Linked DNA regions of Diceros bicornis minor. The protein of the gene in region 3 interacts with the protein of the main gene of each other region in a biochemical or structural test. Links are inferred from orthologs where the notes say so. Each region holds a gene or a part of one and is shown on either strand. Other genes may lie near its edges. The genes, in order: MAPT, LDLR, APOE and LRP8.

Region 1 (7,303 bases), on a different chromosome or scaffold from region 3:
CATAAAGAAATTGAAGATCAGAGAAGTTAATGATTTTGTCTAAGGTCACGCAAGATGGCTAAGATTAGCCATCTCTTCTGAACCTAATCCAGTTCTGAAACCTAATCCAGTTCTCTCTTCCTATGTCATTCTACCTTCTGTGGTTCTGTACGGTGGGCACGGTGTGCTGAATGTGGCCATGAGATTCCTATTTCAGCAAGAGGGAGGGGCAGGGAGGAAGGGAGGGAATGCATTTTCTTGGCCTGAATTCGTGAGCCTTTACCTACCTACAGTGATTAAATTATCTGGAATGAACACTCAGCTCCACACTACATACAGTTAGATGACAAATCTGCTTAAGATTGTTTCGAGCATTCATTACCTCAATTTAATGTAGGCAAATGTGATCACCCAGCATCAGGGGACCACAGTGTCATCAGGCCCTGTCAGTTCACAATTATCCTATATCTTAAAGGAAAGAAAATGAGAAATTTGAATGGGGGAGTGTTAATTTGACTACTACAGTTTATTCTACATATATAAATAAAATAATGTACAGCAAAAGCATAGGTAATAAAGATGATGATGAAATAACTAACTACTATTTATCATTTCATGAATGCCCATTATTCGTCAGGCACTGTGTAAGAAATTTTACACACACACTGTGTAAGAAACATATATATATATATAAATGAGAATATATATATTCTCATTTACTCCCTCTATCAGTCAGCTTTGCTGTGGTGACAAACTCTCAAAATCTCGGTGATTCACACAATAAATGTCTACTTCTGGCTCATGTGATATGTACTTCCTTGAGTTTTTTCATTCTGGGACCTAGGCAGAAGCAGCAGCCCTATAGGGACATGCCATTCTGGTGGTGGTGGGAAAGAGTAAAAGTGGCAGGAACTCTCAATGCCTCTTAAAGCTTCAGCTCGGACACATTACAAAGACCATTACACAGCCTAACCAAACAACAGCGGGGGAGTGGAGACTGGGAGCAACGCAGGTCTCACCATAAGGGGCAAGGACATACAATCCCCATGCAGGAAAAGGGGAAAGGCAACAACTGGGGACAATAATAACACTTCAGTCCTGCAAGATTGATGTTAATTCCACTCATCTCTCCACTTTGAGAAAGGAGATGAGTAGCTTTGCTAAGCTCCTTCTAGAGGATGGAAATATCCCTTCCAGTTGGGATGATTAGGGGAGGCTTTGGTAAAATTTGAGCTAGAGTTTGAAGGTTAGGTAGGATATTGGTGGGGTGGGGACAGAGCAAGGACTTTTTAGGCAAAGGAAAACCTCAGAGTAGAGATGGGGAAGAGCTGCAAACAAGCTCATTTGGCCAGAGTAGATGAGAGATATACCTGGAGAGGACAGGGGCTCAAGTGATGGGGTGGGGGCTGGGGTGTTTAAGGCTAAGGAGTTTAACTTCACTTAGGCGCCACTTAGATATTTTTGAGCAACAGAGTGTCATGATTAAAATGATTCCTTCTTAAGGTTGATCTCACAAGGAGGTGCAGGGTAGGCTGATACAGGGAGAAACAGAGAGCAGGGAGACTGGTAAGGTCACTACATGTCCAGAACCAAGGTAAGGGTCTTTAGGATGGTGGCAGTTGGAATAACAACAAAAACAAAAAGGTCGATTCCAGAGACTCAGAACCAGTGGCTTAAGAAATCAGTCCCCATCTCTATCATTCACAGAAATAGAACAAAGAATCCTAAAATTTATATGGAACAAAAAAAGACCGCGAATAGCTAAAGGAATCCTGAGAAAAAAGAATAAAGCTGGAGGTATCACACTCCCTGATTTCAAAACATCCTACAAAGCTATAGTAACCAAAACAGCATGGTACTGGCACAAAAACAGACACACAGATCAATGGAATAGAATCGAAAGCCCGGAAATAAACCCACACATCTATGGACAGCTAATCTTTGACAAAGGAGCCAAGAACATACAATGGGGAAAAGAAAGTCTCTTCAACAAATGGTGTTGGGAAAACCGGATAGCCATATGCAAAAAAATGAAAGTAGACCCTTACCTTACACTATACACAAAAATTAACTCCAAATGGATTAAAGACTTGAATGTAAGACCTGAAACTGTGAAACTTCTAGAAGAAAACATAGGCAGTACGCTCTTCAACATCGGTCTTAGCAACATCTTTTCAAACACCACGTCTGACCGGGCAAGAGAAACAATAGAAAAAATAAACAAATGGGACTACATCAAACTAAAAAGCTTCTGCACAGCAAAGGAAACCATCAACAAAATGAAAAGACAACCTAACAATTGGGAGAAGATATTTGCAAACCATACTTCTGATAAGGGCTTAATCTCCAAAATATATAAAGAACTCATGCATCTCAACAACAAAAAAACTACCAACCCAATTAAAAAATGGGCAAAAGACCTGAACAGACATTTTTCCAAAGAAGATATACAGATGGCCAACAGACACATGAAAAGATGTTCAAAATCACTAACTATCAGGGAAATGCAAATCAAAACTACAATGAGACATCACCTCACGTCCGTCAGAATGGCTATACTTAACAAGACAGGAAACAACATGTGTTGGAGAGGATGTGGAGAGAAGGGAACTCTCATACACTGCTGGTGGGAGTGCAAACTGGTGCAGCCACTATGGAAAACAGTATGGAGATTCCTCAAAAAATCAAGGATAGAACTACCATATGATCCAGCTATTCCACTGTTGGGTATTTATCCAAACAACTTGAAAACACCAATTTGTAAAGGTACATGCACCCCTGTGTTCATTGCAGCGTTATTCACAATAGCCAAGACTTGGAAGCAACCTAAGCGCCCATCAAGGGACGAATGGATAAAGAAGATGTGGTATATATACACAATGGAATACTACTCAGCCATAAGAAACGATGAAATCCAGCCATTTGTGACAACATAGATGGACACTGAGGGTATAATGCAAAGTGAAATAAGTCAGAGGGAGAAGGTCAAATACCGTATGATTTCCTTCATTAAGTAGTAGATAATAACAACAATAAACAAACACATAGGGACCGAGATTGGATTGGTGGTTACCAGAGGGGAAGGGGGGAGGGAGGAGGGTGAAAGGGATAATTCGGTACATGTGTGTGGTGATGGCTTGTAATTAGTATTTGGGTGGTGAACATGATGTAATCTATGCAGAAATAGAAGTACAATGATGTACACCTGAAATTTTTACAATGTTATAAACCAATGTTACTGCAATAAACAAAAAATTAAAAAAAAAAAAAACTTCAATACAAGCTCCCATATCGTATTGGGCGACTGAGAGAATGAAGGCCTCTGGTCAGTTTGTCAGAGGTGTGTTAGCCAGGTGAGAATCTCCCCCCCCTCCCCCAGGCACTTAGAAATTCAGATGTCAGGCTCTACTTCCAGTATAACAGTGTTTCAACAAACGAGGTAAAAATAACTGTTTATGTGAAAATGCTTTACAATGTAATAAGCGCCATTTAAATCTTGGTCTAATTTAAGATTTTACTCTAGGGTCACAGTTAGATAAATAGATTCGAATGCTCTTTGTTAAAAAACTGCACTACTGTATTAACAACTGAGTGTTTTAAGTGGATTAGCTAAGGAAAGGATTCTCCTTGGTCAATAACAAAAAAGCTAGAAGGAAAGCAAGTTGAAAGGAAGCAGACCCAGGGAAACTTGATCTCCAACAAGGGGGAACATTTGGGGACTCGGGAGAGTCAGGGTGCCCGGCCAGCGATAAGGAGGGCCAGCCTGGGACTGGCCTTGAGTCCAGGTGGACAGACTGGGGAGCCAGCCATGGCGAAACCCGCTCGGGACCTTTCCGTGATAGGACATCATCCCGGCACGACGGGAATGAAAAGGGTAGCAGATCTGGGAGCGGAAAACCCAGCCTCCTCCCGCCCCCAGAAGCAACCAAGCCACCCTGCCGAGAGAAGACACCCCTCAGACAAAACAAAGGCTCCAGCAGCGGGAGGAGACGTAGAGTGCGCCTGCGCCACGGCTCGCGCGTGCGCGTGGCGGTCAGCGCCCGGCCTGAGGAGTGAGGGGAGGGGAGACCGGGGAAGGGAAGCGCCAAGAGGACCGAGGTAGGAGGCAGGGGAGGGCCGAGCGGTGGGTTGCTCGCGCGCGCCCACTGGTGGCCGGAGGAGAAGACGCCCGCGGAGGCCTCGCTGCCCGCCCCTCCCCTGGGGAGGCTCGCGCTCCCGTTGCTCGCGCCTGCGCGGCCCGCCGGTCTCGGGAGCGCGCCCTCTCGCTGGTGCGCGCGCTCGCAGTCTCCGCCACCCACCAGCTCCGGCACCAGCAGCAGCGCCGCCGCCGCCGCCGCCCACCTTCTGCCGCCGCCACCACAGCCACTTTCTCCTCTGCTTTCCTCTACTGTCGTCGCCCTCTGTCGACTATCAGGTAAGCGCGAGGCTCCGAAATCTGCCTCCCTGTCCGCCCCGCTGCACCCCCATGCCGCCGCCCCTGGCGCCCCGCCGCAGAGATGGGTTTCATGAGGTGGGCATTGGTCGGGGGCAACGGCGGAGGCCCCTCCCTGCGCCCTCTGCGCTCCAGGGTTGGGACTTGGGCTGTTTGGAAAGGGACCCATGCAAGGGATGCACGCACGCGTGTGAGTGTGTGTGTGTGTGTGTGTGCGCGCTGGGGGGGGGGTCCACAGGACCCGCTTCGCGCGGACCCGGGCACAGGCTGTGCCCGCAGGGCGGGGCGCGGATGGCGGTGACCTGGGAGAAGGGGCTTCCATGCACTCTCGGTCGCCGCCTTTTGCCGCAATGGGCGTGTGTCTATGTGTGTGTGTGTGGGGGGGCTCCAATGACGACCCCAGAAGCCGAACCTGTTATCCGATTTCTCTGTCTCGGTTTGCCGTCAGCCCTAAGGAAGGTATGGATTGGGTTCTAGAAAAGATGATTCCCTGCCTGCCCCTCCCTACACCTCCCCGGCAGCAATTCCAACCGGGCTTTCGCTGCCCCTGATTTAAGGCAGTGGCCCACGCCCTCTGCGTTTTCCTCCTTCAGAAACCCGCAGGGGACATTTGGGGGCTGGGACTGGAAGCCGTGAGATGGGGAGGGGTCCGGGCGCTGTCACTTTAGTTGCCCTTCCCCCTGCGCGCGCCTGGCACCGAGATTCGAGCAGCGCCGTGCTCGAGAGAAGGTAGTGCGCGGATCCCAATGTGGAGGCTCGGAAAGGCAGGGGTCACCTGGCCTGGCGATGTGGAAGGACTCGGCAGAGGCCGATCCCGGCTCGCGGGTGCTGACAGCCACAGCCCCGCACAGACCGGCGCGGGGGCTGCAGGTGCATTTCGGGGCGGGCGCCTTTCTCTGCGCTCTGCGCCCTGCGCCCGGCGTCCAGCGTGAGCGCTCCCTGCCGGAGGCGCGGGGCTGGCGCGCAGGGCTCGCCCCTCACTGCGGCAGTGGGTGTGGACCCGGGTGGGCGAGAAGGGGGAGGGTGGGCTGTGCCTCCTCCCACTCCCACCCCCGCTTTTTTCCTCTCTGAACGCGAGGTGCCATCTTTTCGCGGCGTGTCACCTCTTTACGATACCATGCCAAGCCGGGTGGCTGGGCTTCGGAGGACAGGGCGGGGACTGTCATTAAAGGGGGGGGGGCAATCAGCGCTGAAATCTTGGCGTTTTTGCTGCTGCGGGCTTGAGCCCCAGGGGCGTTCACCCAGGATCTTCCTGGGGGTCTCGCTGCTTTGTTTGTCGGGCTTACATGATCCGCGTTGCCAGCCTTGGTTTTTTGGCTTTTCTTCTATGAGGGTGTTTAACCAAGGCCCCCGGTTTTCGCCCCTCATTTCCGAGCCCTTTGTTAGATCTCGGGGCTTGCTGGGGTCGAGGAACTCGAGTCACAGCCCCGGGGGCACGCATGGAACGGGCGTGACCCTGCGCGGCCCCCTCCCGGAGCCAGGCCGCGAGCCGGGAAGCGTCCGCGAGGCCGATGGGGTGGGATTCGAGGTCTGCGCGCGCTGTACGGATGGCCGCAGATGGACGACGCCCCTCCCCACACCCAGAGCTTCCTGGGGGCCACGCCCCACCAGCCTGCGGACCAAGGGTCACCGGCGACCCCTGGGAGGTCGGGGGGTAGCTCGCGCCCCTCTCCGCTTCACGCGCTGTTGCTTCGCCAGTCAGGAGAATGTGAGGAGGGGGCCCGAGGTTTCGTCCGGTGCTGCAGGCCACACCCATTTTTCCCGAGCGGACTGGGAGGGGGGCGCGGAGATGAGGTTGCCATAGAAACCACACGCGTCGGGAGAACGGAGCTAAGGGCGTTGCCCCGCCCCTTCCCGGCAGAGATTGAGAGTCCTGGGGAAGGGGGGGCAGCGCGCCCTCGGCCTCCTGGAGGGAGACCCCCCCCAACCCTGAGTCTGTTGGTCTTCCTAATTGCCTTTCGGCGGCCGCAGCCACCCGGATAGGCGTTCCTCGTGTATTTTTATTATTGTGGCCGAATATTATTTTAGAAACGTGCGGAATTTTCACTAAAGGGCCCGAGTTCACCAACGCCCTTGAAACCGGTGGGGAGGGGGCAGTGCGGGGGGTTCGGGTACCGACCCCTGACCAACAAGTCCGAGCATCGCCCTCCTGCGATGAGCCGGTCCGTGCGGCTTTCTGGTTAATTCTATCGCTGAAAACTGGTGCGAGGGCGCAGCTCTGAGAGGGATGAGCATTTTAGGGGCCGAACCATCCACGCGAGCGGCGCCGATTGAGCTGAAGGAATGGCGCGGCTCGGGATCGAGAGGCCGCCTGGGGCCAGGCCGAACCTCCCCGGCTGTGGCGTCGGGGGTCGAGCCGCGGTGCTGCGAGGCCTTCCTGCAGAGCGCGGCCCGCCGCGCGTGGGTTGCAGGAGAGCCTCAAGGATCGATTCGAGTATCTTCCCCGCTCTCCATCGCCCCTCCATAGAGCGGAGCGCAGGATTCCGGTTTCAGACAGAGCGAGGGTCTCGGAGCGGCGCTGGGGACGGGAGCTCGCGGTGACCGCGGCCTGGGGCGGACCGCGCGCGGGCGGAGAGGTCCCCGCCTGTCAGTTGCGGGACAGGGAGCGAGGCGGGGGCGAGCGCATTTAGCCCAGTGCCGGGAACAAAGCGCGGTCCAGGCGTCCGCGATTTCGCTTGGTTTTGAAATGTATTGGCGGTTTGTTGGGGTTCTCGGGTCGGCTAGACCTGGGGGCTGTTAATGGAGGAATCCTGGGGGCCAGAGGATGGTACTTCGTACGCGGATCGGGAAACTCCATCCCTGGCTCTGCGCGAGCTTTAACTAAATAGCTTCCCCCCAGGATGTGGAGGGATGCAGCGTTGGCGCCCGTGCTCCGACGATGGAGCTCTGAGC
Region 2 (7,008 bases), on a different chromosome or scaffold from region 3:
CCACAGCAGGCAACACCGTCCTGAGCAAGCGGACAGAACTAGCCCTGTTTCAACACCACAGCCCCAGGAAACTGGACATTGTTATTTCCTCCCCATTGCAGAAGCAAGGTTTGGCTTTGCCATGTCAGTTTCATTTGAATTTCAGCAAAAGCAAACTGGAACAGGGCTCCCATATCTCCTCATCCTGAGGATGCCTAAAATTACCTAAGCAGTGCATGCCCCCCCCCAAAAAAACCCTCTAAACTGTAGCCCTTAGATCTCTCTTGCCACGGGTGACAGATCACGAACAAGGTTATCGAAACAGAAAAGGAGAATACACATTTCTGCTTTTTCGTCAGCACACAAATGAGGTGGTAAATGCTGTCGATGTTTTCTTTCCCATGCTACTGAAGATACTCGCTGTACAGGGAAATCGAATGGTAGGTGGAATGTTTCCTTGCAAAAAGAAACGGCTGGCGTTACCAGACTCAGCTGAAAATGATGAGAAATCAATTTACCAGCGCTTTTTTCCAAACTAGGTGACGTCAAGGTATTTTCCCCAGGAGTGGTCTCGAATGGTAGATTTTGCTGCCAGCTCCTTTGGGGAGGGGTAGCCTGTTTCTGTCACTGTTCACGGCTGTTACTTCCACAGTGTCTTAGCAACAAACGGTCACTTGCTTGACAGCCAGGCAAAGTGGGGATGCTATTAATGTACTTAATGTGTAATGTGAAGAACAACAAAGGCATCTAGAATTAGATCTTATCAGGGGAGGAACCCCACAGATCTGAGCAGAACTAACTAGAATAAGGCACGTAATGCTCCTTGAAGATTTGCAGTCTCAAAAAAGTTCTCCCTGTCTTTGGCCAATGTTGTCCTGGAACAAAGTACACTCTGTAATGACCAGTGAATCCCCTGGGGCATGTTGCCAAAGCAGACACAGCTCTTAGCAGCAGGCTCTCCTTTCTCTGAGTTTGGGTGTGCCCTTGGCACACTCGATACCCCACGCACAACATTAACTGCTTTTGATCTGGCTAAGTGAAGGCACACAGTTCAGCGCCCAGCTACTTCTATTGCCAAAGGAAACGGACATGAAATCCTTTTCCCGCAAATGCTTTGAAGACAGCTAAGGAGCAAGCCGGAGCAGCCAGGGCTGCGACAAATACACAACAGGGTTTTCACCCCAGTGGAGAGACGTAGATGCCAGCTCTCCGCGGTCTGGGGAGCACATCAGAACTGAAAGCCTCCTTGAGAACCGAAGATCCATCAGATCCTCAGCCACCCAGTGAGAGAGGAAACTAAAGTAAGCCACTCATCTTGCTCAAGACTTCGCTGCCATTATTGTCTCTTAGGGAAGGAGTCCAACAGTGTGAAATACAGGTTAACCCAGTGTCTCTTGAGCAAGCCTCTCTCCTCCGGCTTCACACACCTGGGTGGCCGAATTCTTACAATAATCTGCTCTGTGGGGCTGCCACCTCCCTTCCTCCCCTCCCAGCGGAAGCGGATGTGTCACAGGGTCGGATTCCGAATTCAAAGCCACCTCCCTGCCAATGAAAAAGGCTTCCTGCCATTCTGTTGAGCAGCCAATGCCCGGCTGGGCTGGCTCTGAGCAGGAAAAGGACCATTTATCTATTTTCCAGGGCGAGGTCACATGCCTCTGGCAGCTCACTTACAGCCACCGGATTACTCAGGATCGCGCACCAACTCGCCTCTTGCCCGAACCTCAATCTGAATCTCCCTAAAATGAAAAGTCCTCAGGACCCGCTGGGAGCCTCTGAACAAACAACGCAACCCTGAGGCGTCTGTCCGGTGTCGCTGTCGCCCCCCAGCTGACGGTCTCCGCCAAGTGCCCTTCGCGTCCGACCGAGGAGGGGCGAGTGTTTCCGAAGCAACATTCCGCCTCGGAAGGAACCGGGGCCCTGAGGGTGGCCTGGGGACACCTCCGTGAACTTGACCCGGGCGGGCAGGGCGAGGGCGGCCCCGAGGACTAAATGGCGACGAAGGCCTTGTGACAGATCCGGGAGGAAACCGGGGGCACCCGGGCGCTCGGCGGGCGCCTCATCCACGCTCGCGGAGGCGACACCAGGGGCCCGGGACGTGTCGCCCTGTTGTGGCAGGAGCCCGGGACGGACGCGAGGCATCGCCGTCGTCGCCTCACCGAGAACGAGGTGTGGAGCGAGCCCTGCGCCAGCCCCGCCCCACTCGTGCGCAAGCCCCGCCCACGCCGCGCGCGCCTCCGCAGTCGCCGCCTCCCATTGGCCAAGGGGAGTGGCTCGAGGCTCGCCTGTTCGAATCGCGCCCAATAGGAGCCAGGGGGCGGGGCCGCGGGCTGGGGGCGGGGCTGGGGCGGCGGCTTTGGGCAGAAGCGCGCATGAGGGGCGAGGGGAGGATGCGCGGCGACCGGCTCCGGGAGCCGGCGGCGCCCTTGAGCGGCACAAAGCCCGCTTGGCCGCAGCGGTGACCCCTGCCCGTGGACGCGCGCGGGGGAGCGCCCGCAGGGACCTCCAGGCTGAGCAGCCGGGCTTCGGGTCACCCTCGCCCCTAGAATGGCTCTAGAAGGGGGTCCCTCCTTCCCCAGAGCTGGAGATGCCGGTACCCCCGCTCTGAGGAAGACAAGGGAGAAACCCGGGGGGGAAGCCACACCCCGATTCCCCTGACTGCTCCAGATCCCCCCAAGCCCCGCGCCCCCCTCCGCGCTCCCCCACGCGGCTTCGCCCTTGGCGAAGGACTTCGTGCCATTTTCCCACAAGCCTCCCAAAGATGGAGTTATTTTTCGCTCTACCCCCCAAAAAAATTACCAAAGGGCTCCCCGAGTTCGGGAGGCTCATCCGCACCCCGCGCGGGCGCCTGGAGCCAGCCTTACCTGCAGCCCCCGCCGCGGCGAGCAGCAGGGCGATGGCCCAGCGCAGCCCCCAGCCCGCGAGTCTCATGGTCCCAGCCTCCGCCAGCAGCGCCCCGGCCCCGGCCCCTGTCAGCTGTGTCGGCCCTGGAAACCCGGGCTTCGCGCGGCCCGGCAGCGACTGCACGCGGGGCCCCAGTCATTTGCGGCATTTCAATGTGAGGTTTCTCGCGGGGGAGGAGTTTGCAGTGGGGTGATTTTCAAATATCTTCGCCTCACTGCCGGAGGAGGAGTTTGGAGAGGAGGAGTTTCGAACGGCTGATGTTACATGGGCTTCTTAACCCCTGAAACCCTGACTTGCATTCCAGCCCTTTCCAAAGCCTCTCCAGGGCAGGCCGCTTGATTTGTCATTGGTTTGGTAGCCCGGAAGAGCTGAGCCCCCCCCCAAATTGGAGATGAGCCTCCTGAAAGATGTCTCTTTAATTTGTCTTAACTTTTAATTGCCACATTTCCCTTTGGTACCCAAAGAAGATTGTTGATAACCATCTGTCCTTCCAAATGGTCTAATTGGTTAACGACATCTCCCCTCTGCCTCGAAAGGAAAAAGTACAAATCTTGGAAAATGTCTCCCTCTCCTTTCTCTACCAGCTTTTTCCTTTCTAGGAATTGCAGATAGATTTTAACTGAGTTTAGTTGTACATAGTTTTTAGGTGGTTCTTCCAAATCGCCATATAAACTAATCAACGAGGCATTTAAGAAAAATCTTCAAAAGTACAGCCAAAAACTGATTTTGTTTCTTGGGATCCAGGCTTGACATATGAGCCAAAATATTTTTAAAGTTAAGTGACCTGATACCTGGAGTCTGGACGTAAATATTGATGTATTCTTTTAGGAGAAGGAGTTGCATAAACAGAAGGGCAGCTTCCTCTCCCCAAAGTAAAATTCAAACAAAACGAGGGCTTTCAGAGTTGAACTTGACTGCCTGAGCCCCGGAGGGCTGATGGAGAGCAGCTTTCAAGAATCAGAGAGTCTAGTTTTTTTTTTTTTTTTTGCTGAGGAAGATTGGCCCTGAGCTAACATCTGTGCCCATCTTCCTCTATTTTATATGGGATGCCGCAACAGCATGGCTTGATGAGCACTGTGTAGGTCTGTTCCCGGGATCCAAACCTGCGAACCCCGGGCCGCCACAGTGGAGCGCACGAACTTAACCACTACGCCACCAAGCCAGCCCCTAGAGAGTCTGTTTTGGGATTCATGAGGTTGCCTGCCAGAGCCCCCTTGCCAAAAGAGCACATGTGGGGATCTTGTCTGAACCCCACAAAAAGTCTGGCAGACTTGGAGGGTTCCCCCAGGAATTTCTCTGGGGTCTTACAAACTGGGGAATTGGACAGACCTAGGGCAGTCAGTCAGCCTTCAGAGAAGATAAGCCTGCTTCCCTTACTTGGCAGGTTCAGTGTCAGGGTCAGAGGACATAGTTAGCAACCACCTGGAGAAATTTACAAGGATGGGCAAGTTCTCCGAGTTGTTACGACATTTACAAATGTGTCACCATCGCATTCCATTCCTTATACCGAACGCCACATTTTTTTTCTTTTTATGTCTGTAAGAGCACTGGGTTTGATTGCCCTTCAGAAAAATTACAAGACCTGGCAAGCTCGGTTTCTGTTGTGAGCTCAACTTTCTGTATCTGGTGGTGGGAGGCCTTTTCTCCCCAACGGGCCTGGAAAGGGTTAACGGGAAGAGGTTTTCTTCCAGGAAGGAACTTAGTTTAGCATGTTTCCAGAGCTAGTTCAACACTGATGTAAGGGCAGACCTGGAAAAGGGCCACAAAAGGCCTGGAAAGAACATTCCTCGGGTGCCAAGGCCTGAGCCCAAGCAAGGTCTCCAGGACAGCTCTCCCCATCTCCGCCTTGAACCTTCCTTTGGAAATCTCAAGGCCCCTTCTGTCCCTGCCACGAATGGACCTGGTCACGTGTTGCTCTGAGAATGGGGGTCACGCTGTGTAATTTCTCTAGTCTGCTTCTTGGAGCCTCCATTTCCTCTTCCGTAACTAGCTCACAGGGTTGTCGTGAGGATTAAGTAAATTAATATATATACAGTCATCCCTCGGCGATGTGGTGGGTTCCCTTCCAGACCACAGCAACAAAATGCATATCGCAATAAAGCGAGTCACACAAATTTTGTGGTTTCTTGGTGCATACAGAAGTTATGTTTACGCTATCCTGTAGTCTAAGTGTGCAATAGTATTATGTCTAAAGAAATAATGTACATACCTTAATTAAAAAATACTTTATTGCTAAAAAATGCTAAACATCACCAGAGCCTTCAGCGAGTAGTAATCTTTCTGCTGGTGGAGGGTCTTGTAAAAAACGCATTATCTGTGAAAAGCAATAAAATGAGGGCTGTCTGTATATAGTGATTAGAACCGTGCTTGGCACATAAGCACCAAATATGGAGTTTGCTTTTGTTTTTTTTTTTTTTGGCTGTGTTCGTGTTGCAACTGCATCTATTTTTTTTTTTTTTCTTCCCTCAAGGAAGACCTTCTGCCTCAGAGGCACTTAAAAATAATCCTTCCATGGAAGCCACTTCATTTGGAAGATCCTGGGCTGGCAAAGTCATCTGCGACAACCCAGGGTAAGCGTTTTCCTCATTCTAATAGACAGCCCACCTGTCGTGGGTTTTGGCTCATTAGTTCACCAGAAGGCTCAGACCAGAGTAGGTCTTCAGCCAAAGGAGTCCGGCCTTTTGGCAGAGGGGAGCCATGGCAGCTGCAGTCTGGCCTGTGGGCCAGCAGGCAGCAGAGAGAGTGAATAACTGCGTGAGCCATGGTGCCTTCCAGTAGGTTCCATTAGGGACCTGCCTTGACCCCGTCCCCATCAATCATCTCCATAAAACCCCCATAAGCCACGTGAGGGCAGAGTCCATGGCTTGTACCTCCCCTGCCTGCCTGCAGTAAAGGTAAAATGAGTAAATGAAAAGAAAGAAATTCTTGTTGGAGTGGCTGCAACAACAGCAGAGATGCACCCTTCCTGAGTTCTACTTGCATTGGGATTTTGATGATTAGGAACTCAAATTTTGTCCTGGGCTGCCAGTCCTTCCTTTCAGACAGAACACCAGACTCGAAAGCAAACCTGTACTGGGGACACAGAGAAAGCCTTGAGTCGGTGGTCGGGGGAGACTCAAAACTGACCAAGGTACGACCTTGTGCTCCAGGACTCCAGGAGAGAGAACAGGGCAGGATCTTCTATAAACAATGGGCCCATGCAGTGCCTGAGAATTCAGAGGCTGCATTTAGTGTGAGAAGTGGAAAGGTACTCGAGAAAAAGTATATTTTCGTTTAGTATGAAGAGTCGAAACATTCCCGTGGTTCAAAAGTAAAAAGCCTTGATGAGGAACAAGGCAAGGATGCCCACTTTCATCACTTCTATTCAATTGGAAGTTCTAGACAGTGTAATTAGGCAAGAAAAAGAAATAAAAGGCATCCAAGTTGGAAAGGAAGAAATAGAAAAGAAGTTTTATATGTAGAAAACCCTAAAGAGTCCACATACACACAAAAAACTGTTGGAACTAATAAGCGAATTCAGCAACATTGCAGGATATAAAATCAAGACACAAAAAACAGTTGCATTTCGTACACTAGCAAAGAACAATCCTGAAAAGAAGTTAAGAAAACAATTCCATTTACAATAGCAACAAAAAGAGTAAAATACTTAGAAATAAATTTAACCAAGAAGGTGAAAGGCTTGTACACTGAAAACTAAAAAATGTTGCTGAAAGAAATTAAAGACACAAATAAATAGGTTTTATTTCTGTTCATGGCTTAATATTGTTAAGATGTCAATACTACCCAAAGCAATCTACAGATTCAATGCAATCTCTATCAAAATCTCAATGATGTTTTTTATTGGCAGAAAAAGAAAAATCCACGCTACAATTCATATGGATTCTCACGAGACCCTGAATAACCAAAATAATCTTAAAAAGACCAAAGTTGGAGGTCTCATACTTCGTGATTTCAAAACTTACAACAGAGCTACGGTAATCAAAACATTGTGGTGTTGGCATAAAGAAAGACATATAAACCAAAGGAACAGAATAGAGAACCCAGAAATAAGCCCTCGCATATACGGTCAAATGATTTTTGCAGGGGTGCCCAGGCCATTCAATGGGGAATGCACAGTCATTACAACAA
Region 3 (7,519 bases):
GACAGAAGTCTCCACATGGCGAGTCCTGCCTGAGGGCAGACCCAGAGCCTTCAGCAGCGGGGAGCCTGGAAGGCGACTTGGAGCAGGAATCTGGCTGGACACACAGTGCCAGGCCCAGAATCCTCAGGGCTCACTAGCTGCAGAGCATCACGCGGGGTCTGGCCCTGGGTGGAGAGCTGGTCTGCCACCAGCGGCCCGGGGAGGAGGGCACTGTCATGTCTCTAGCGGGGAAATAATACACATGTGAACCTGGGGCGCAAGGGTAGAGTCAGGGCTGGGGTCCGGAATCCTGTGTCCCAGTGAGGAGGGGCTGGGGCCAGACTCTTGGGTACAAGGGAAGAGGGGCCTGGGGTCGGAGCCCTGGGTCTGAGGGAGGAGGGACTGGGGGTCTGGAGCCTGGGGTCTCAGGGAGGAGGGGAACCTGGGATCCCAGAGGCCCAAGTCCCCTTGGGAACCTGCCCCACCCCTACCCTCTCTCACAGTGAACAACTGGTTGGTGACGGTCACGCTGGGCCAGGCAGGCAAGCACGCCACCTACTACCACAAAGCCAGTGACCAGGTGAGCTCATCCGACACCGGCTCCAGGACGCACATCCAGGCGGGGGTGGCTGGGGGCTGGAGTGCCCGGGAGCGCAGCCGGGAGGCTGACTCTGCTGCCCGGGCCCCTCAGCTGCAGGTGGGCGTGGAGTTTGAGGCCAGCACAAGGATGCAGGACACCAGTGTCTCCTTCGGGTACCAGCTGGACCTGCCCAAGGCCAACCTGCTCTTCAAAGGTACAGGCCTCAGTCTCCCTCCTGGAGGACGGGCGAGAGGGGACTCAGCTCTAGAGGGTGTGCAGGCCAGAGGAGATGGTACAGGCCTCAGTCTCCTCCTGGAGGACACACGAGAGACGACACGGCTCTAGATGGTGTGTAGGCATAGGAGATGGTGAGAGCGGCGAGCTGGGACTGTTGGGGACCTGCAGACTCCCTGGGACGCTTCTTCAGAAGCTGGGGGCCGGGGCCTGAGCTTCGCACCCGCCATGCTGCTCCCCACCCCGCCAGCAGCCCTCCGCTCTCTGCCCTCGGCCCTCTCTCTCCTTGGTCATGAGTGGACTGCAGCTTGGAGCCCATCCGCCCCACTCGTCTCACATTAGTGGAAACTGAGGCCGCTGGAGGTTGCACAGTCACAGCCAGATCCAGAACCTTCCCCTGGGCTGACTGGCTCTAGTCTTCAGTCTTCAGTCTCTTCTGGGACCTCAGTGGTTCTCAATGTGGGGTGTGTGAAGGCTCCCTGGCTGCTGCCTCAGTCTGCCTGGGCAGGGCTCTGAGGTGGTGTTGAGGTCCTGGGTCTCTGCCTCTGAGGCCTGCCCTGCGGCCTCCTGACCCTGGCTCCGCGCTCAGCCTGGTGTCAGGGGGTTGAGATCCAGGTCGGCTGCTTCTCTGCTCCCGTTAAATGAGTGATCACCCCTTTCCAGGGTGTGGGGACGGCTCCATGCACTCACACATCTGGAAGGCTCTGGGCCCCAGAGGAGATTTCAGTCTCTCATTCGGCAGATTCTGAGCACCTGCTCTGGTCAGCCGTGTGCTGAGGGTGCTAGGGACACCACGGTGACCAGGCCCTGTCCTCACAGGGCGCACAGTGGAGGGGACAGGCCCATTCCCAGAGAGTGATGACTTCGTGTGGACACAGCTGGGCTGGGGGAGCCATGGGGGGTGGAGGGCTTCCTGGAGGGGGAGGTCACTGAGCTGAGAGCTGAGGAGGAAGAGGAATAAGGCCGTTGCTCTCAGGGGCGAGGGACCTGGTGCGGGAACCCTGTCGGAGGTCTGGGAACCGGCAGGCTGGCTGGTGGCATCTGAGGCGGCCTGGTTGCCAGCCCACGGGGACAGGGCGGGCGGCCGGCACCGGCTCTCAGCACCGCCGTCCCCCACAGGCTCCGTGGACAGCAACTGGATCGTGGGCGCCACGCTGGAGAAGAAGCTGCCCCCGCTGCCCCTGACGCTGGCCCTCGGGGCCTTCCTGAACCACCGCAAGAACAAGTTCCAGTGCGGCTTCGGCCTCACCATCGGCTGAGCCCTCCTGCCCGCCTTCCACGCCCTCCTCCTCCAGACCCCTCCCCGCCCCTGCCTCGTGGGGGGGGGACCCAGCCCCCTCCCCGCCCTCCCCTCCCTCCTCGGGGGTCCGGGGGCAGCGCAACGGAGGGGACCCACCGCCCCAGCAGCTGAGGGGGGTCCGGAACCACGGGGGCTCCAGGGTCGGAGCAGCAGGGGCAGCGCGCCCAGGGGGCCGGGATCCGGGAAGGGATTCCAGAATCCGGGAGGACGCGGGATTCTGAGCACCAGGGGCAGAGGCGGCCACAACCTCAGGGAGGTGTCGGGGCGTCGCCGTCCCCCGGAGGTCCCTGTGCCCGGCCCCGAGGGGGCAGCGCGGAGAGGAGCTTCCCCACCCCCGTCCTCCGCCCCGCCCCCTTTCCCTCCCAGCCCCTCGGTAGAAATCATGTTTATAAGTTATGGAAGAACCGGGACATTTTACAGAAAAAAAAAAAAAGAAACAAGAACAAAAAATATACATAAAAAAGCGAAACGGGAGGCCTGGGTTGTCCTGCTCGTGTCTCTGGCCTCTGCCCATTCCGTCCGGCCGATCTTCCCACGGTGGCCGGTAGGGGGCGCTGCAGTGTCGGCGCCCAAAAGCCTGACGCCACCCACAGGGGGTCAAGCCTGGCCGCCGCCGGGACCCAGCTCACAGGGGAATATCCCAGCCCTGGCTCACACGGCCCCTGACTTGTGCCCTGCTGGGGCATCACAGGCCTTCCCTCAGCAGGGGGGCGCGGTCTTTCGGTCCCTTGACCCCAGCTGGACCTGGCCAGAGTGGCTGCACAGGACTTTGTCCCTGGGAGCTGTGGACACAGGGATGACGCTGTCTCTGAGGGCAGGGATGGGGACGATAAGCGGGGACTCCAAGGTCCTTCCAGTTTCCAACACAGACAAGTCATGATGGGGTCTTAAGACTTCTTTCTGATAGGAAGGTCAGAGCTATCAGAAGCTTCTGGAAGAATCCAGGCACCTGGAAAGGCTTCAGAATCAATGACTGTGTCTGAGGGGGAGAAGGGCCTGGGCTCCCGGACTCAGGCCTCTGGGGACTTGCTGGGGTCTGAGGCAGAGGTGGGGAGAGGGGTGGGGGCTGGGTCCCCGTGTCTCAGGCCTCTGAAGGGGAGGACGAGGAGCTGTCGCATTTGCCACCTAGGGCTCAGATGAGCTGACACCCCTGATCCCCTCCAGACAGGGGAACTGAAACCCCGTCTGTCACCCACATGCACGGTCTGGGCGGGAGGTGGCTGGGCAGAGATGACCCCTCATTACCCAGAGGAGCTCCCCCACCCACACTGCCAGCAACTTCTGAGGCCAAAGCAAACAACCTGGGCCCAGCTGGCACTGAGGCTCCCTTTCTGAGAGTAGGCGTTTGGCCTCCCCTGACCCCATGGAATCCGAGGTTCCCACACCCTGGAAGGACCAGGAACAAATCCCAGCTCCTCCAGGTCCTCCTGTGTGGCTTCACCATCCACCTCATCCCTGAACCTCTGTCTGTCATCTGTGAAACAGCTGGGATTCATGTAACAGGGCTGCTGGGAAGGTGACAGCATTGGAGCGCTCTTCGTGGCCACTCACAGCAGTCAGCTCTAATACAGAACCCACTGTGTCCCAGGTCTGTCCTCAGGACTTCCCACGTCCAGTAGCTTGTTTCATCAGCAAACAACTGTGTAAGCGTAGCTAGTTCCTGGTTCTGTGGACCAAGAAACTGGATGTTCAGAGAGGCTAGGTCATTTGCCCAAGGTCACACAGCTGGCAGCCCATATTCAGGCCTGGACCATTTGGTTCCAGAGTCTGCAGTCCTAACTGAGCAACAGGAATGCTTTGTGCCCTGAAAAAGGCACAGTCTGTGGGCTCCTGGAATCCACAATGCTAGGTTTAGGGCGAAATGCTGGCTTTTCATTTTATAAATGGAAAAAGGGGCTCTGAGAGGTTCTTCCCTGTGCCCAAGGTCACAGCCAAAGAGGGAGCTGGGCTTAAAACCCAGGTTGCACTTTCAAAGCCTCTGCTTTTAGCAGATGCTTTTCACTGTCTCCACCCCTCCTGTCCCATTTCTGTCTGGGCCCCCAGCCCCTGCTCTCTGAGACCTCAGGAATCCAAGCCCCCAGCCCCTTCCTTCCTGTGCTCCAGGATTTCCGGCCCCCCGCCCCCTCCTCAAATGTTATTCATCCACAGAAAAAGAGAGGGGCAGGGAATGGGGGTTCTGGGCAGCTGCCAGCTCCTGTCCATTCCATACCCAGCCTCCCAGAATTGGGTGAGATGTCACCTCCCTTCGTGAGGACTGTTGGGGGGGGGTCACAGGGCCTGCGAGCCCCACCTCCTTCCCCCTTCCTGCTGTGCTAAGGGGGGAACAGCCCACCTCGTGACTGGGGGCCGGCCCAGCTGGTCCTAGCTCGGGAGGAGTAGGCGGGGCAGGGGGCAGCCCTTTAATTGGACGAGTCTGGATCCCTGAGTTTTATTCAGCCCCAGCGGAGGCGAAGGACACGGTTCCCCAGGACCGGTGAGAAGCAGAGCGGGGGAGGGGAGGGGGCACAGATTCCAGCTTAGGGCTTCTGTGGGGAACGGGCTTCGGGGAGAGGAGGTGACTGTCCTATGGGACGGGACAGAAGTGGGAGCTGGGGGTGAGGCAAGGGGACCGGAGCTACGGGAGGGGTGGGTCTCAGGGGCTTCCCGCCTTGGCTGGAAGGTGGCGTGGGGGGAGCACCTTGGCCTGTAGGAAGACCCGGATGAGCCATAGCAAAAGCCACAAATTGAGACTGTCATTTATTAAGCGCCTGCTGGGTGCCCCCATCGTCCTCAGATCTCCATTAATTGTAGGCGCAGAGGTGGCGGCGGGGCAGCTAGAGCGTCGATTGAAGGCGCACTTTTAAATGAGGATTAAATTAGCTAATGTATGGAAGATGGCACTTGATGTGAAGTTGGAGCTTAGAATGTGAAGGTAGAACGAGGAATGCGAGGTTGGAATTTAGAAAGCCCTGTTGGGACTCACCGGGAACTCGGGGCAGAGTGAGTGGAATTTGAACCCTGGGAGAGGGGGATGGAATTTGGGAGGCGGAGGCGGACCCGGGGATGGGGAGATAGGAGAAGACAGGAGGGATCTAAATAGACAAGGGAGGGGCCTCGGTAAATGTTTGTGATTGGATTAAGCTGATGCCCATCTGGGGCGGGGGAAAGCCTTTGAAGACCGGGGGCAGCGGGGCTCTGGGTGGGAAGAGTCCTACTGGCTGTTGATTGACAGTGTCTCCCTCCCGCAGATTGACCAATCGCAGACGGCAAGATGAAGGTTCTGTGGGCTGCGTTGGTGGTTACGCTCCTGGCAGGTATGGGGCCGGGGCATGCTCAGGCTCCCTGCCGCTCCCCCTCCCGTCCTCCCGTGGACTCCTTGCCCCCCTTCCGTCCCTGGGTCCCCTCTTCTGCTGGTCTGTCGCCCCCTTGAGGGGAGGCCCAGGTCTGAGGCCTCTTCTGACATTCACTGACTCTGAGCCGCCATTTTCCTCTCTTTGGGCCTCAGTTTCCCCATCCTTAAAACGGGAGTTATCACAGTTTCTAATGCATTGTTGTGAGGCAGGTAATGAGCATTAGATAAGTGTCACTGGGATTATTTTAATACTCCATCACCCCAGCACGGCCCTACGTGAAGCACAGACAGATCCCCTCAATAAATGCATGTCAAGTGATTAAATAGGCCGGGCGTCCCTCCACCCGCTCCTTGCCCACTCGTGCGCTGGAGAAGCGCATGAGCATTTGTGGAGCACCTACTGTATACCAGGTACTGTGTGCCTGGAGCGGGCAAACAGCCCTGATCGCCGGGAACTTGCTCTGCGCAGGATGCGGGGCCGACGTGGAGCCGGGGCCCGAGGTGCAGCCGGGGCCCGAGGTGCAGCTGGGGAAGGAGTGGGCCACGTGGCAGGCCAGCCAGCCCTGGGAGCAGGCCTTGGGCCGCTTCTGGAACTATCTGCGCTGGGTGCAGACGCTGTCCGAGAAGGTGCAGGAGCAGCTGTTGAGCAGCCAGGTCACCGAGGAACTGACGTGAGTGTCCCCCCCTGGCCCCTGACCCTCCTGGTGGGCAGTTCCTTCTGGACTCAGCCCCCACGGGTCTGGGTTTCTTTCTGTCTCTGTTCATTTCTTGCTTCCTTTTTCCATTCGAGGCCCTGGCCTTCCCTCCCTCTGATTCTGCCTCCCTCCATCACGCTAGCTTGGTCGCTCACACTCCTCCCTCCCATCTCTGCTTCTGTCTTGGCCCTTCCTCCTCTCCCGTCTCTCCCTCTCGGGGTCTCTCTGTCCCCATCTTGCCCTCCACCGCCGGGTCTTTCTCCCTCTCCACGCCCACGCTCCGCCCTCTCGGCCCCCAGGGCGCTGATGGACGACACCATGAAGGAGGTGAAGGCGTGCAAGTCGGAGCTGGAGGAGCAGCTGGGCCCCGTGACCGAGGAGACGAAGGCCCGCGTGTCCAAGGAGCTGCAGGCGGCCCAGGCCCGGCTGGGGGCGGACATGGAGGAGGTGCGCAGCCGCTTGGCGCAGTACCGCGGCGAGCTGCAGGCCATGGTGGGCCAGAGCACCGAGGAGCTGCGGGGGCGCCTGAGCGCCCACCTGCGGAAGCTGCGCAAGAGACTGCTCCGCGACGCCGAGGACCTGCAGCGGCGCCTGGCGGTGTACCAGGCCGGGATCCGGGAGGGCGCCGCGCGCAGCGTGAACACGCTCCGCGAGCACCTGGGGCCGCTGGCGGAGCAGGCCGCCACCGTGCACACCCTGGTCAGCAAGCCGCTGCAGGAGCGGGCCGAGGCCTGGGCCCAGCGGCTGCGCGGGCGGCTGGAGAAGGCGGGCTTCCCGGTGGGGGACCGCCTGGACGAGGTGCGTGAGCAGGTGCAGGAGGTGCGGGCCAAGGTGGAGGAGCAGGCCAACCAGGTGCGCCTGCAGGCCGAGGCCTTCCAGGGCCGCCTCAAGAGCTGGTTCGAGCCCCTCGTGCAAGACATGCAGCAAAAGTGGGCCGAGCTGGTGGAGAAGGTGCAGTTGGCCGTGGGCGCCGTGCCCACCTCTGTGCCCAGTGAGAAGCAGTGAGCGCCCTGCCCCCGCTCCTGCGCCACGCCCCCTGCCTCCCCCCCCAGCCTGCAGGAGGCGCCCTCCCTACCCCGGCTGTCCTCCTGGTGGGCCCTGGATTAATAAAGATGCATGGAGCTTTACGGCAGCTGCTGTGTGTGCGTGTCTGATTTCTCACGGCTCAAGCCTCGGCTTCTCTTTCCCGCCCCACAGGGGCCACACAGCTCCGTCTCCTGTCCCCTCTGCCCATGTGTGTCTGCTGCTTTCTCTCACATCTCTCAGTCTCTGCTTCCTTCTGTCCCCGTTCTGAGCCTTCCCTTTTTCCAGTGTCTCTGCTCATTACTCTTCACTCTCGCTTCTCTGCCTCTGTTTCCATTCTGTCTCCAGGAAACAAGTCCTACAACAAATCCACCCCT
Region 4 (7,712 bases), on a different chromosome or scaffold from region 3:
AATCCTCCTCCTTTTTTTTTTTTTCCCCCCAAAGCCCCAGTAGATAGCTATATGTCATAGCTGCACATCCCTCTAGTTGCTGTATGTGGGATGCGGCCTCAGCATGGCCGGAGAAGCGGTGCGTTGGGGCGCGCCCGGGATCCGAACCCGGGCCGCCAGTAACGGAGCGTGTGCACTTAACCGCTAAGCCACGGGGCTGGCCCAGAAATGCACAGTTTCTATTTCCCTGCCTCATCCTCGGCACCCACTCTATGAGGGGACCACAGAAGAACAACTCCCAGTGATGAGAGTCGCTTTAATATTCTACGCTGGGACAGCCATTTTCCTAACCCCAGTAGCACTGGGGAACGGTCAGGGTCATGATTAGGCTAAGAACTCTGGAGTCAGATGCTGAAATTCAAGCTCCTACTTCGCAGCTCCATAGCTGCGGGGCAAGTGACTTAATCTCCCGCGCCTCGGTTTGTTTCTTCTGTACAGCAGGACCGTTCTGAGGACTGAAGGGTTTATATAAGACAAGCACTCCCCACAGGGCCTGGCACACAGCTGACAGTCAGCACATTAGTCATTACTTCCAATCGCCTCACTAGAACTGGTCCTCAAAACCAGAGCAGGAATCACTAGCCTAGCGATCAGGTGAGGAGACTGAGGCGGGAGGGAAGGATGTGGCCAAGTCACAGCCCACTCACGGTTGGGCCTGAGACAGTGAACCCAGAGGCTGACTGGCAAACCCAGAAAAAAACCTCGAGGACTCCACAGACAATGCCTGTCCAGATACCCGCCCCACTCCCCGCACTGTGTGGAGCTGTGGGTCTGCCCCCGCCCCCCGTAGACCCTGTGTTCCCCGGCCTGCAGGTGCGCTGTTCCCCAAAGTGCCCCAGCGCCCGGCACACAGCGTGCGCTCAGGGACCAGGAATGAATGACTGCCTGCGTCCTGTTTTTCTGTTCCTGGAACTACACTCCTTCCACGGCGACAACTGCCCATTAACTGCACCCTGTCCCACAGACATCCACGACGGCGCACCCAAAGAAAGAACTCCCAAGGCGGTCACACCCGCGTGTACAAACATCACACCCAGCCGAGGCGGCCCGCACACGGGCGGGGGTTCACGCGCGGCCTCGGGATCCCGGGGCCCCTTCCAGGAAACAAACTCTTCCTCCTGGCCCCCTCCTTCCTGGTCTGCCCCATGACTCATGCCCGAGCAGGGCGGGCAGGAGAGCGCGGTCGGCTAACCAGGGTGGCACAAAAAGGTCTTCACGGTGACTATGCAGAAAAGCAGAGGGCCTCGCCGGCACCTACTTCCCGGGGGATGCGCGCGGGGGTGCGGCCGGGGCGGGGCCCCTGCGCCCAGGGTGCCGGAAACCTGCACGCACGCCCGCTCCACGATTGGCCGCTCCGGCCACGGGGGCCTATGGGGTGGTCCTCGTCCAGCCAATCAGGGGCCCCGGGGAGCCCATTCATTCACAGACCGAGCAGGGAAAGGAGTGCCGCGAGGCCCGGAGCTGCGTGGAACTTTGAAGCAGGCGTGCGTTCGGTGGGGCCGAGGCAGGAGTCCCGGAGGGCCCGACCGCAGAAAGCTAGACGCGTGCAGGGACCGCCGAGTCCCCGCCCACAGTTCCGACCCTGCCTGCCGGGCGTGGCGCGCCCTTCTCCCGGGCCACGCCGCCCCGCGCTCCGCCTCCAGCCCCATTAGGACACGCCGGCCGCCCAGCTCCCGCCGTGTCGCTAAGAGCCATTCAGCCCCGAGGGAGGCGGCGCCCAGTTGGCTTCCTGGCTGCGGGCTCCGGCGATGAGGTCCACGCATCTGGCCCGGCGGCGGCTGCAGCCACGTGCGCACTGAGCCTGGCGCCCCCCACCGTTCCCTCCCTCCCGGCCGGCCACTCACGGCAGTCGTCCTCGTCGCTGTTGTCCGAGCAGTCGTCGTCCTCGTCGCATCTCCACACGGAGGGGATGCAGCGCTCGTTCCGGCACCGGAACTGGTTCTCTTCGCACTCCTTGACCGGCCCTGCGCGGGGGAGAGCGGGCGTGAGCCGGATCCGCGCGGGCCATGCAGTCCTGGCCGCGGGGAGGGATCTACTAGGATGAAGGAAAGGGGGGGATGCTGGAGCCAAGGGCCCCAGGGGCCTCGGGCACCCTCGATCCGGAAGGAGGGCAGGATGGTGGGGGTTCCTGGGATGGCGGGCTGCTCCATGGTAGGAGACTAGGCACACACCGTCGGTGTCACACGACTTAGGTATACCTCCCATTCAGACACACTCACCCGCACACTCGGCCCACAGTCAGAGATCCACGCAGACACAGCGCACAGGGAGCCCCGAACACGCCAGGACACCCACAGTGGGCGCTGCGGGCACATCCCCCTCGCACACAGCCCCTCTTTCAAGGCGACACGCAGGGGTCCCCGGAAACGCATTGTCAGGCAGGGAAGTCGCTAGGCTCCGCTCACCGCCGCCGCGGAGCGCGCGTGTCAAATAAACCTCAACGGCGAGAATCACACAGCCCACCCGAAACCATCAATAACCACCCCCCGCAAAGTTCCCGGCAGGCCAGGCCCCCACTGCGCCCATCCCCCGCGAGCAGGTGCCGGAGGGCAGAGCCCACGACGCAGGAGCCGCGGGGGGTCGAGGGCAAACGAAGAGATGGCTGGGTCCCGAGGAGCCTATCCACCCGGGCGCCCCGACCAGGCCTGGGCTCGGGGCCTCGCCGCCCCCCGCCCCCTGCCCTTCGGCCCCCGGGCCGCGCTTTGTTGGCGGCTCCGGCCGCACGCACCTTGGCCGCCGCGCAGTGGATCCGCCGCCGCCGCCGCGAGATGCTGGAGCCGCAGCAGCAGCAGCAGCAGCAGCGCCAGCGGCCGGAGCGCGCCCCGCTCGGGGCGGCCCATGGCGGGCCCCGGGCTCCGGCCGCCGCGCCCCACGCACCCGGTGCCGCCCCCGCCGCCGCGCCTCAGCCCGCCGAGTCCTCGCCGCGGCGCCGGGGCTGCCGCTGCCCCCGCCGCCGCCGCCGCCGCCGCCGCTGCCGCCCGCCCCGGCTCCTCGGCTGCATTTCAAGCAGGTTCCGTGACGCTCGGCGGCGGGGCGGGCTCAGGCTGGGCGCGCGGCCCCGGCCCTGGGCGGCCGCCGCCAGCGCGCGCGCCCCTCCCGCCGCCGCCTCCGCCCCACGCCCCTCCCGCCGCCGCCGCCTCTGCTGCCTCCCTCACGTCCTTGGTCCTCTCCTTCCTCAGCAGGCGCTTGGTGACCCTGCTCTGGGCCCGCCCGCGTGCTGGGCGCCGCAGACGCTGGGATGAGCCAGGCGAGGCCCCTGCCACCCAAAGATAGCAGACAGTCCAGAGGAAGCAGCACAGGCTGCCTGGAGGAGGTGACAGGCTTATAGGAGGCTGAGGGATGCCTAGGAGTGAACCTGGGCGGGTGGGGAGATGATGTTCCCCGGTGCACAGGCCTGTGCAGTGTGCACGTGGAGCAGGAGTGGTGATAGATAGGGGTTGGGGTACCCGGATGTGTGTGATCGAGAAGGTGGGGGAGCAGGGCGGGACCTCTGCACCCCTCACTGGCTACAACCCCATATTACACATCTGTGTAGCTGGTTAATGCAGCCATGTGCATCTGTGCATGTTACACACTCATGTGACCACGGCCAAGGATGTGAGGCAGGTGGCTTGGGCCTGGCCCACAGACTTTATTCACCCATCCTTATTCGGTACTCTCCACGGGGCCAGGCAGAGGGGCAGACAAGCAGGGGACCAGCAGGGACAACATGTTAGTTCTTGCTGTGATGGAGAGGGCAGGACCGTGGGGCACCACAGAAGGGATTCGTCATCCCTGCCAGTAGCGGACACACACCCAGGGCCTCTGGCTACCTCTGCTGCCTCTGCATGAATGAGAAGCCCCCTCTTCTGGAAGGTAGCAGCCCTGCCTCACTTATGCCAGGGTGCAGAGTGTAGAGGGCAGACCTGGGACTAGATTTTAGGTGCCTGCTGATAATCGAGGCCCAACCCACATAACCTTTTTTGGACAAAGAGGTTTGAGAGCATTGGCAGCTAACAGAGGCAGGCTTGCAGGTGCCTGGGCCCAGTGTAGGTCAGCTCTCCCCCACCCTGTTGCTCCCTCACCTCTATGGCAGAGGGGCAGGAAAGGGGGCTTCAGGAGCTGTTAGCCCCAGGCCTGGAAGCCACTCTGTCTCATTAGCAGCCTCCTGAGCTCTATTACTTCCCACAAAGGGCAGCCCCCTCGACAATGGCCATGGCCACCCCACGGGAGAGAGGTGCAGACCTCAGAGAGTGCGGCAGCTGCTCCTGCCATTACCACCTTCTATCCTTTGTTCATTCGGTTCTCCAACAAGGCCAGCCCTGCTCTGTGCCAACCCTGTCGTGGGCCTAGAGTACCAACGTAAATCAGACCTGCTACCAGCCCCAGTGAGGTCCCTGACTGGCCAGGAGACACACCATCAACAGGCAGACAGTGAAATGCAGGCATACTTTCAACAAAAACTCGCTGAGCACCTACTATGTGCCAGGCATTGTCCGAGGCCTGGGGATACCACGTAGAAATAGATGCAGTCCCTCCTTGCTCTCCTGCAGCTTACGTCTTAGTTGGGAGAGACAGACACAAAAGCAAGAAAACAAAAAAGATCATTTCAAGGGCCGGCCCAGTGGTGTAGTGGGTAAGTTCACACACTCCACTTTGGCGGCCTGGGGTTTGCAGGTTCAGATCCCGGGCATGGACCTACACACCACTTATCAAGCCATGCTGCGGCAGGCGTCCCACATATAAAGTAGAGGAAGATGGGCACGGATGTTAGCCAGGGCCAATCTTCCTCAGCAAAAAGAGGAGGATTGGCAACAGATGTTAGCTCAGGGCTAATCTTCCTCACTAAAAACAAGATCATTTCAGATCCTCATAACTGCTATGGAAAAATAAAACAGGGTGATGGGAGAGTGATGAGAGGTAACTTTAGAGAGGTGATCAGGGAAGGCCTCTCTGAGGAGGTGACATTTCACTGAATGGCGAGAAGGAGCCTGATATAGATTGAATGTTTGTGTCCTCCCAAAATTCATATCTTGAAACCTAATCCCTAATGTGACAGTATTTGGAGGTGGGACTTTTGGGAGGCAATTAGGACATGATTGAGATTAGTGCCCTTATAAAGAGGCCCCAGAGAGATCTCGGGCCCGTTCTGCCACGTGAAGACACAGCGAGAAGATGGCCGTCTGTGAACAAGGTAGTGGGCTCTCACCAGACACCAAATCTTCACATGTCTTGATCTTTCAGCACCTTAATCCTGGACTTCCCAGCCTCCAGAACTGTGAGAATTAAATTTTTGTTGTTTATTAGCCACCCAGTCTGTCACATTTTGTTATGGCAGGGAATGGACGAAGACAGTGCCCAGCCACGTGAAGATCGGGTGGAAGGGCATTCCTGGCGGAGGGAATAGCAGTGCAGAGGCCTTGAGGTGGGCTGGAGCTTGGTGACGAGGAGAGGGTGGGTGCCCCAGGTGAGGTCGGAGGGAGTCAGTGAGGCCCTGATCACAGGAGGGCTTTGTAGACACAGCAAGGAGTTTGGATTTTGTTCCAAGCACAGCAGTGCCCGCTGTGACAGCAGGATGCCTGGGACTGTGGAGCCCCTCCTGCAGCCCAGATTGACCCCCAGCTCAGCCTCTCCTCCTTCACTCTGTGGTCTTAGGAGAGTCAGTCCCCATTTCTGAGCCTCAGTTTCTCATCTGCAAAATGGGGAAGACAGGGAATTTCCAAGGTTCCTTCCAGTTTTAAGATTATCGTGTGGATTGAAGTTCAGAGGCAGCAAGGTAGGGAGATGAAGAGCACAGGCTCTGGGTGAGTCTGTTCCTTCCCTTCCTAGCTGTGTGACCTTGGGCAACTCTCTTAACCTCTGTGGCTCAGTTCCCTCATCTGTAAAATGGGAATGATGACAGGACTCACAGGGTTGCGAGGATTATGTTAGATGAGATTATGTATGCACAGCGTGTAGTTCAAACATAATTCCCTATTCAAAACCCCAATGACTTCCCAACCCTCAAGAATAAAGATTGAAGGGCTGGCCCAGTGGCGTAGTGGTTAAGTTCACGTGCTCAGGTGGCCCAAGGTTCACAGGTTTGGATCCCGGGCGCAGACCTACGCACTGCTTATCAAGCCATGCTGTGGCAGGCGTCCCACATGTAAAAAATAGAGGAAGTGGGCACAGATGTTAGCTCAGGGCCAATTTTCCTCACCAAAAAAAAAAAAAAAGAATAAAGATTGAGCCCAGGCATCCCTTGACCTCCCCTCCAAAGGGGGTCTTTGCTCACATGTCTCACACACTCCAGTTGCCAAAATGGGCAACTCCTTGTCCCTCGACAGCACCCTCATCAGAGCTTCTCCAGGCTCCTCTCAGCCCCCACCCAGCTGGGTCACTTCCCTTTGTCCTAGTCAGCCTGCAAACTCTCTGAGAGCAGCAACCAGCTCTCCTGCATTCTGGGTCCCTGGCCTGGGACACATCTGACCAATGTTTGTTTCTGCTTTTACTGAAAGTTTCTGCACCCCTCGGAGGACTATGTCTGCCTCATCCTTGTTTCCAGAGGATAAAAACAAGCCTTGGCACATAACAAGCGTTAGATAAATGATGTGTAAATACTTGAAACCGTTGAAAGGGAACCTTATCGAGTAATAATCATCGCTAATGCTTGTTGGACACTTGCTGGGGACAGGAACTGTCTTAAGTGCTTTAAATGCTTTAACTCATTTAGTCCTTACAATATCCCCACGAGGCAGGTCTTACGTTTATCCCATTTTACAGATGAGCAAACTAAGGAATGGGGAGGGCACACAGCTAGCAAATGACAGAGCCAGCATTCGAACCCAGATAGCAGAACTGGAAATTTTTCAGGGCATAAGTTGGTTAATTTCAGTGAGGGGCAAATGGAGGGAACCTAGCCCTCAGCACACACCAGACACCAAATGGGTCCTGAGGGCCTGGTATCGCTTCTTGTCCTCACCTGTCTTCTCTCTCCATCCTGGGCTGACTCAAGTATATGGGCCTTGTCCGCTCCTGGATTTCCAGAGAAAACCCTCAAACCCAATCTCAAGTGCAATGAATTCCCCATGAGACAGAAACAAGTGACATTCCACCTACTGTCAGCGTGGCACCCTGCCCCACCCAAGCCCCCACATCCCACCTCCAGAGCCACCAGAGGCTCAGCAGCCCACCCCATGCACACTCTACCCCCTTATCCTGCTCCCCAAGAACTGGAGCTTCAGGCCTCTGCCAGGCTATACCCTCTGTCTAGAACACTTCTGCACTGGCTGACTTCTGTTCATCCTTTGGGCCTCAGCTCAAGTGCCTCCTCCTCTGGGAAGCCTTCCAGCCTCCTCCAGAGAGGTCTTCCCTGCTCCTCTGGGCTCCCACAACATTGTGTGTCCCAATCACTCTGCTCACACTGGGCTGTCAGTGTTGGCTCCTCAAGTCAGAAACGGGGTCATCCTGGTCCTTGCTGTGTCCCCAGTGATGACTTGTTAAAGGGAAGTGTGACCGTATGAATTCTCACCAGGACCAGGGCCAGGGCCAGGGCCAGGGCCAGAGGGCCCTCTGCATACACCTCCCCACGCCTGCTCTGGCTGGCCTTGTGCTAGGTGAGGGGCACAGATAAACAAGACTCCATTCCTGCCCTTGAGGATCCCTGGTCTGGGGGCAGAAAGTGACAGTGCAGGGTGATAAGAGCCCCGGAGAGA

Evidence for each region.
Region 1: the proteins of APOE (region 3) and MAPT form a complex in vitro, tested with the Homo sapiens proteins (2 studies listed by BioGRID, with this or other methods). The link is inferred for Diceros bicornis minor from reciprocal best matches to the Homo sapiens genes APOE and MAPT.
Region 2: the proteins of APOE (region 3) and LDLR interact in a biophysical measurement, tested with the Homo sapiens proteins (2 studies listed by IntAct). The link is inferred for Diceros bicornis minor from reciprocal best matches to the Homo sapiens genes APOE and LDLR.
Region 4: the proteins of APOE (region 3) and LRP8 form a complex in vitro, tested with the Homo sapiens proteins (2 studies listed by BioGRID). The link is inferred for Diceros bicornis minor from reciprocal best matches to the Homo sapiens genes APOE and LRP8.

The regions. Positions count from the first base shown.
Region 1 is NC_080757.1:44,467,233-44,474,535, forward strand, and holds the start of MAPT (microtubule-associated protein tau), read left to right. Parts: upstream 1-4,299; 5' UTR 4,300-4,393; intron 4,394-7,303. UniProt on the Homo sapiens protein: Promotes microtubule assembly and stability, and might be involved in the establishment and maintenance of neuronal polarity.
Region 2 is NC_080769.1:8,291,956-8,298,963, forward strand, and holds the start of LDLR (low-density lipoprotein receptor), read right to left. Parts: upstream 3,016-7,008; 5' UTR 2,908-3,015; coding exon 2,841-2,907; intron 1-2,840.
Region 3 is NC_080773.1:19,265,576-19,273,094, forward strand, and holds APOE (apolipoprotein E), read left to right. Parts: upstream 1-4,504; 5' UTR 4,505-4,566; intron 4,567-4,902; exon of another isoform or gene 4,903-5,072; intron 5,073-5,320; 5' UTR 5,321-5,343; coding exon 5,344-5,386; intron 5,387-5,893; coding exon 5,894-6,095; intron 6,096-6,418; coding exon 6,419-7,124; 3' UTR 7,125-7,251; downstream 7,252-7,519. UniProt on the Homo sapiens protein: APOE is an apolipoprotein, a protein associating with lipid particles, that mainly functions in lipoprotein-mediated lipid transport between organs via the plasma and interstitial fluids.
Region 4 is NC_080752.1:15,652,468-15,660,179, forward strand, and holds the start of LRP8 (low-density lipoprotein receptor-related protein 8), read right to left. Parts: upstream 3,001-7,712; 5' UTR 2,880-3,000; coding exon 2,768-2,879; intron 2,004-2,767; coding exon 1,884-2,003; intron 1-1,883. UniProt on the Homo sapiens protein: Cell surface receptor for Reelin (RELN) and apolipoprotein E (apoE)-containing ligands. LRP8 participates in transmitting the extracellular Reelin signal to intracellular signaling processes, by binding to DAB1 on its cytoplasmic tail.